Linked DNA regions of Bombyx mori. The protein of the gene in region 1 interacts with the protein of each later gene in a pairwise test. Links are inferred from orthologs where the notes say so. Each region holds a gene or a part of one and is shown in the gene's direction. Other genes may lie near its edges.

The links. The genes of interacting proteins can lie anywhere in the genome.
Region 2: the proteins of Ubcd4 (region 1) and ring finger protein 5 interact in binary tests that used the Homo sapiens proteins (3 or more experiments, as listed by UniProt). The link is inferred for Bombyx mori from reciprocal best matches to the Homo sapiens genes UBE2K and RNF185.

The regions. Positions count from the first base shown.
Region 1 is NC_085107.1:6,308,363-6,312,544, forward strand, and holds the start of Ubcd4 (ubiquitin conjugating enzyme 4), read left to right. Parts: upstream 1-1,382; coding exon 1,383-1,445; intron 1,446-4,182. UniProt on the Homo sapiens protein: Accepts ubiquitin from the E1 complex and catalyzes its covalent attachment to other proteins. In vitro, in the presence or in the absence of BRCA1-BARD1 E3 ubiquitin-protein ligase complex, catalyzes the synthesis of 'Lys-48'-linked polyubiquitin chains.
Region 2 is NC_085116.1:17,094,581-17,098,618, reverse strand, and holds the start of ring finger protein 5, read left to right. Parts: upstream 1-1,238; 5' UTR 1,239-1,316; intron 1,317-1,515; 5' UTR 1,516-1,519; coding exon 1,520-1,674; intron 1,675-3,036; coding exon 3,037-3,175; intron 3,176-4,038. UniProt on the Homo sapiens protein: E3 ubiquitin-protein ligase that regulates selective mitochondrial autophagy by mediating 'Lys-63'-linked polyubiquitination of BNIP1.

The DNA.
Region 1 (4,182 bases):
ATTTATTCAAATTGCAATAATTAGTCACCAATGTAGTCAGTACACTTATATATTTTATGTCAGTATTCACATGTTATATTAGCTATTTGAATAGACATTGATGTAGAATTAAGTCTAATATTTGCATTTAATACTAGAGTATTTAGGTTTGAAACTGACTACTTATTACTCTGAATTCCGTTCTTTGTGTGTATTGTGAACCGTTTTCATAAGTGCTCACTGTTGATAACTTCTTAAAAATATATTTTCGTTATTGATGAACAAGATAGCTCATTCTTTTGAAGTGACTTTATTAAATTTGTAATAAGCAATTGCTGTGTGTTAGAATTTTACCTTTACACCTTTAACAGCACACTTTTAATTTTATTATGATTGTCTAATTTGGTTACTTATACACTAAAATGTTAGAATTACATTAGTTTTCTATAAAGTTACACGCCTTTTATCTTGTAATTAAGTAAACAAATGCATTATTTTTATTGTTTGGATAATGTTAAGCATCCTCAGTAAATCATTTATAGAATTTTATTAAGTACTGGTAACGACTGTACACAATGAAGTGTGTATTCGGGAACAACGGGCGCCCTTCATAGCCTTGCACGAGTTATTTATGTATGCGAGAGCATCATGTTCTTATTTCAAACACCATTTATTTTTAAATTCATAACATAAACTACTATTGGATTGAGGTACTTAGCATGCATTAGACAAAATTTTAACATAAACATTATCACAACGCACCTTTAAGCGCCAGGTACATAGGTGGAACCCGGTGACATAGGGAGTAAATTAACATAACTTCGTCCTTAGACTGTTTATAACACTGGTCATACCTCAAAATAAGACCTAAAACTTACTCACTATTATTAACAGCAAACATCACGAAACTAAATTAACTTTTATTTTAATATTGCGAATAGGAAATCACAGACGGTAATAAAATTATTGCCACACATTCAAACCAACCACAGTACACAACTTGACTTGAAGCCTATTGAAATGCGTTTACGAATGCGAGGTCTGTTTCTCTTTAAAATCTCATGCAAAATGTTGAGTGATCTGTGAGATTTCTGAACGAAATACAGAGAAAGTAAAATTCATAGAGAAAGAAAACTACCGAAAATTATTGCAATGATATGGTAATACCGTTAGTAAGTGAGAAGAGAATGTCAAATTTATATTTTTAGTCTATGTTCGACGTCAGGGTGTGGTAGAATTTAATTTCAGATATAGTGGTAAACATTTGCTCGGAATACGTTTTTGAAAACTCTTTGGTAGAATATCCTGGTATCAATCTCTTTATTTCATCGCCTGCGATCGTGCGCTTTAAACGTTTTTGAATCCAGTAAAGCAATAAGTGAAAATTAAGTAGAATTTTAACAATGGCAAATATAGCAGCCAAACGTATAAAAAGAGAGTTCAAAGAGATAATGAAAAGTGAAGAGGTATGGATAATAATTTAACTAAACTTTATATTTGTTTTGATGTTTAGAATGTAGAACTGGAGTTACTTGCACTTTTGTTAAAATGTCATATTTTGTTGGAATGCATTATTATTATTTAGATAGTTAAATTGCCCAAGAAACTAAATTGTTGGATTGTCTCGATATAATAAAACAAAGAACAAATAGCCAGTTCAGAACAATGTGTGCGTGATTCAGCAAACTTGTAGAAATCATGTTTTGTTTAAATTCAAAACGTTAATGCTATTTTTAATTCGTCGAAAAGGAATTATTTTACTGCTTCGTAATAGTAAAATTAGCTTTTCAAAATACATCTATAATGTTTTTCGTGATTCATACGAGAAAAAGTAAACATTTTGTTTTCTATATTTTCTACCAATGTTTTTAATAGAAACAATACTTATATTACCCACATTGATCTTTATAAGTAATTGAAGTTGTGTTTAAAATAAAATAAAAGATTTTATCCGATTTATGCCCAAGCAAAAGTATTTTTGGCTTATTTATCAAATCACAGTTATGACACTGGTGGCTTCAGGCAACCATTTACTTCCAAAAAGCCAGACATAGTACAGGTATTTTTACATTATTTTGGATTTATTCCCTCATTATTGATTGCCATTGAAATAGAACTTGTGTGTGGGGCACCAGCATCCCCTTGTATATGTGTTCAGCTTACCAAGTAGCAATATTTACACATAACATACCGAATTTTTTTAAATTAAATATCTGTAGCACTATTGTCATGGACAGATTGCCTTATTTATTGCAATTGTAAGAGCACACCTGCGTGCAATGCATGTAATACATTAATGTACCGAACATGATCCAGGCGATACTAAGCTAACAGCATTCATAATCCACATTTTGATTACAATAGTAATTGTCCTCATAAACATGAACTAGACGATGACCGAGCTTTGCTCGGTATTAATTTTTTTTTTGATAAATTGTCTTTCGGTTGGCTTAACAACGTCATCTGTGGAAATAACTTTAGTGTTATTGTGTCTTTAAACAATTATGAAAAATAGTATTATTATTCGCCAATATATGTCGGGAAGTCATAAAGTTGATTATCGATAAAGTTGATTATTGAAAACACAAGTAAAACAACATTTCCTAAAATAAATTCTAGCTAGATCGATTTATCGCTCCCTGAAATCCCATGTATACTAAATTTCATAAAAATCGTTGGAGCCATTTCCGAGATTCAGATTATATATATATACAAGAATTGCTTGTTTAAAGGTATAAGATTCTGTGTTTGTGTAGACTAAGAATATTAAATATCTCAGTCCTAGCCCAAACCCAGCAAAAACTGAATTTTTCATTAGACAAAGTTTTTGCACTTCCTGCAAGTATGTGCTCTCCAATTAGCAAGTATCTTTTACTGCCTAGGTTGTATCTGAAAGCTAGCATGTGTAGTAAGAAGGTTACTCCTACTTAAAATATCTGCACTGCATTAGCACCAAGGCCCAATTTTTGTTTATTTATATATAGTGTAGATTATTGGAACTATCTTCTTATTGAGATCCATATTAAGAGTTTTTCAGGAATACCATTCATTAAATTGAATTACCAGGGCTCTTGCATTTACTTTTCTTAACCTTCTGTACTGAAATAATATACTGTACAATGACACATTGTGTAATTGTGTTAGTCATATTTGTATATCTAAAAGTGCATACTTGCTGCATTGTAAGCTTGCACAATTTCTTATCTCTCTCTAACCTTTAGCTTCTGCACGGCTGCCCACTGAGATCTTCTAGCACCTCACATCTAAATGGAACAAATGTTTATGTTTCTGCAAATATAAACAGCAGGGAAAACAAAGAGGGTTGTAATTGCCAGGAGGAGTGGGATTTGCTAACAACTGCCTTAGCACCTCTAAAGAAAACCTGCCATCTCAAGGGCAATTGCTTCACGAATTCATCTTCTACCAGACCGGAATTGCGCCCCACTGAGAAGATCTGGCGAGAAATTTAGCAGGCTCTAAATGTTATAGAGGGTAGATTTACTTTGAACTCTGACGAGTTTGATGAGTTCGGTTAGCAGGGTTCCTATACTTGCTCCTAGTGTTAGAGTTGCAGGTATCTAATGCAAGAGTTATTGGATCAGATAGATCTGTAAGGACGTGTCTAGAACGTCAACGATGACTGACTCCTGTGTGAGTCTGTGGCGATATACTTGCTCCTAGAGTTAGAGTTGTAGGTATCTAATGCACGAGTTATTGGATCAGATAGATCTGTAAGGACGTGTCTAGGACGTCAACGATGACTGACTCCTGTATGAGTCTGTGGCGATGGTGGCGGATGTGATTTTCATCAAGATTCATTATCATTTCTTCAAGATCTACATATTGCGATGTAACATCATATTACTTATATCTCAATCAATTCTAGGGCTTTAACAGCCTTCATAAAAAGGAGGCTATTTATCAATTCAGCTCTGTTTTTTGTGTTAATTCAAAAGTTTTTCTCGGTCAACTGATTTTTATGATTCTTTTTTTTTTTATTATCAAATTTCAATTTTTATCGAAGTCTGAGCAGTCGTTTTTGAGTTATCCTTATTGATCTATATTTAATTGACATTGATTACATTGATCAAATTATCTCAAAATCAAAAAATGATCTAATTTTAATTTTTAAATTTGGTTTTCTTTTTTTTAATTTCGGTATCGTATTCATAAAGCTGTTTGGAACCCATTTTCGTCCTGAAA
Region 2 (4,038 bases), on another chromosome or scaffold:
CTCTATCGGCGAATGGGTGCTAAGAGTAGCGATCGTTCAACCATTTTCCTTTTGGTTCTCGTTGATTTCATTGATTAATAGCAAAGAGTAAAGATTAATGGTTGTTTACGGTATGTAGTGATTATTATTGTCTTTGGTTGGTACCAGGATTGGAATAATACAAGACTTGGCTGCGGCCTTATTAAAAAATTTATTTCAGGAAGAAATTTTAAAGGACTTGGCTTCGGCCGTAATGATTTTTTTATTTCAGGACATAATATAAATCATATAAGGGCTCGGCTTTTTTTAAAAATGACAAGGTTGTATAGGCCTAAGGAAAAATTGTACCAAAAAAAAATGTCTTTGGTTGGTCAAAATTAATTCTTGAGTAGTTTTTGACGGGAGCGCGAATAGAATTGTGTTTGTGTTAACGTTTCTTCATGTTTAAATGTATAATAAAGAAGATTTATTAACTGTTTATCCTCTGTTAACGTGCACAAATGTAGGAAAATGAAACAAAGTTGCTGGACGTAGCTTCTTGGGTTCTTTTAAAAAGTAGACTGAAAAAGTTTCCGTAAATAACCACCATTCTATTGAGATTTCATCCCTTCTCAACCCGTTTCATTTAATTTCATTTCGTAGATATGAATAACAATTTATGCATAGGTGTTTTGAAATATTTTATGATATACTTAAATGAAACTAATTTTCATGAAAACATAATTTTTTCAGTAATTTTATATTTGATTAAACTAATATACCTAATAAGTGGTTTTTTATCTTGTTTTCAAAATGTACTCGTACTGTTTTAGTAATTATGACAACATAAATAAAAAGTGCGTGTAAACACCAGCGTGTGGCCTACCCTAGATAATTAGATAACTCTATTATACAACCAACTCATCTGATCTTAAGGGTTAATTTAGTATTACCTAGTGTTAGAAATATACTTCTATTTTTAAAGAGGCATAATTTTAATAATTTTCCATTCATTGGTAAAGGTACGAAATAAATAATTACAAATCTTTCCTTATTTAAAAAATAATTGAAATAAAATAAATCCTAATCGCTTTTTTGTAATTACTTCCCATATCAGATATCGTATACTGTAGAAAAGATAAAGATATGTACTGCGAGTTCCAATATTTTCCATAAACATCGACTGTCATGGGACCCTTGTCCTTACAGCTGACAATTGACAATCAAGATTTTTTGACGCTGAATGACATCTACTGACAGATCAGCAATCAGCATACCACGGGATTGGAAATGTGATTTATTTATTTATTAACAAGTTTCTATATGAAATAATAAACTCAAACATCAAATTTAAAGTGGCAAGTGTTGTATTGTTATTGACCTTTCTCTGCAAACAATAACTTGTTATAAATTTATAATTTGAATATATTTTGTCGTGTCACAATAACATCCAAGCGAACGTCACTACACCAGTATCGTGATAACGCTTCATAAATTGAAAATTTCAGTTCCAAAAAAGAATGTCAAGTTGTGATTATTAAATATTTCGTAATGTAGGGAAATGGCGGAGACTAGTCAAGCGCGAGCGAGCCCCTCGGCGCCTGGGGGCGACGCTGGTGGCGAAGAAGACAAACATGACGAAAGAATGCTAGAATGCAACATCTGTCTGGACACAGCCCGTGATGCAGTCGTCAGTATGTGCGGCCACCTCTTCTGGTGAGCTCATTGTCGTAATTAATACAGTAAATAATTAGATTTAAATCTAATGGCTGAAAGATTTTTTATGAATATTCACAACTATTGAAAAGGTAAAATATCATTTGAATAATTTGCATTAAACTATGCTCATTATTATTCATTCTCATTACTTACCATTGACCTTGTAATGCAGTAAAATCAATACACTGAATGGAATGAACTATGAATGGGAACAGCTGTGCTTTGTGCTACAACATAATTGTATCTATCTATTTATTGATTTATTAAAAATGTTAAAAGACAATTTATTTTAATCAAAATTAATTCTATATTAAAACAGATCTTTAAAATCAGGATTTACATTAAATAGATTAGTAGAGCCATGGTCTCTCAAGAAGGTGGTGGCATACAATATGTACATTTGAAAATTGAATGCTTTTTCTCTTTAGCATCAGCCCTCTGATGTTTTCTCAGATTTGATTGATTTGATAGTCAGGGTCTCTCAAGACTATAGTTTTGTTTTGTCAAGGAGAGCCAAAGAAGGCTATAAAATAAATTTTCCTATATTGTAAAAAGTAAATACAGCTTTTTATCTACTGGTAAAGCGTCCTCAAGCTGGTAGGGCCAATTATTGGACCATAGTGATGCACACTCTTTAGACAGGGGCTCAGATCAGTTTAGCTGGCTTAGTTTACCTACTATAACAGAAAAGTTACTGAATTTCTAGATAAGAACTTGTTCAACATAAACTGTTATATTACTGTTAATCAGTACATAAAAAAAAATTTATGCTTATGAAAATACTGTATTGTAAAATAAATTTCATATACACTATCATATAAAAGTTTAAAATAATATTATATATTTGGAGCTACTTAAAAACACAACACTGTTTAGAAACAAACATAGTTAAGTCTAATAAAAAATAGTAAAATTAAAAACTAAACCAAATAAGAATTTAACATACAATATCAATATTTACCTATTTAAACTTTAGCCTCATTGAAATGTCCCTCGTGTTTTTTTAATTATCTTCACACATATCTCTAGGCAAAATAAATTTCCTGAAATATTCTTTATTCAGCTTTTTCCACTTACTTTCCAATAATTTCAAAACATTGAGTTTGTTGGTGAACAATTTTTTACCCTCCCAGTCGTTCATGCCAAATGAATTCAATGGGAGAAATGAAGTCAGCTGATTGGCAACAGAGAAAACTTGAACTTGTTAAATTGTTAGAGAACCTTTGCATATTTTATGAGATTATATAATATGATTTATAATGCAAGGTCTGAGTTTAACCATATCTTGTGTTCACTTGCTACTCATTGCGCACTAGTGTTTTTCAAAGAGACTATGATGGTATATTGTTTACAATGCAGCTGGCCATGTTTACATCAATGGTTGGAAACCAGACCCAGTCGGCAAGTCTGTCCTGTTTGCAAGGCTGCCATCAGCAGAGAGAAAGTGATCCCGCTCTATGGAAGAGGAAACACAAAGCAGGAAGACCCAAGAAACAAGGTAAGTAATACAAAAAAAATAATGTAAAATTATAGAAACCACTTTTGTTGTTTCTATACTTCTGAAGCATAATATTGTCAACAACAACACAGTTGAAACTTTTTTAACTTCAGATGAAACTTTTTTAAACTTCAGATGTATGTATGTTAGTGAGTAACGGAATCTCTGAACATGATTTTGACCTTAAAAACGTCGGCTTAACGACTAGTTCAAGTAGTTATAAATATTTTATGAACAGATATGAGTAGAAGGGTTATTTTGATAATATCCTGAAAAGCACCCCATGCTTTTTTACAATAAAATCATTTTTTCTTACACTATTTTTAATTCAAATTTATTAAAATTTATTTTCTATTTTTAGTTGGATTTTCTATAAAAGCGTATTTTGTTAGCTTTTGAAACTAGTGAAGAAATACTTTTTTTTTGTAAATTAACTTAAAGCTTATCACTCCTATTTTATTTGAATCAATTATGCCAATGTTCTAATCAACCCGATAAAAAAATCCTAGCATTAATTATTTATATATTGAAGACTATACTTAACATTGTATGATAAAAATGAAATCCGCACATTTTTATGATTTGCATCATTACTGGTGGTTGGGCGTAATAAGAGCCCACACAAGTTGGTATTACCGTCGTATCCCTTATGCTACAAAGCAGTGTTGCAGGGCGATTAAAATGCTGGAAGCAATATAATTGAGACCTTAACTTCATGCCCAGATATGTGACTATTGAGTATAGTATTGATACATTCACCTCACTTTAGTGTGGTCCGTGGCACTTACTTGGTGATATAGACTGACAGGCATCTAAAACCAAGTGGACCCTGTGGTCCACTGATCAGTGATTGCTGCTCATAT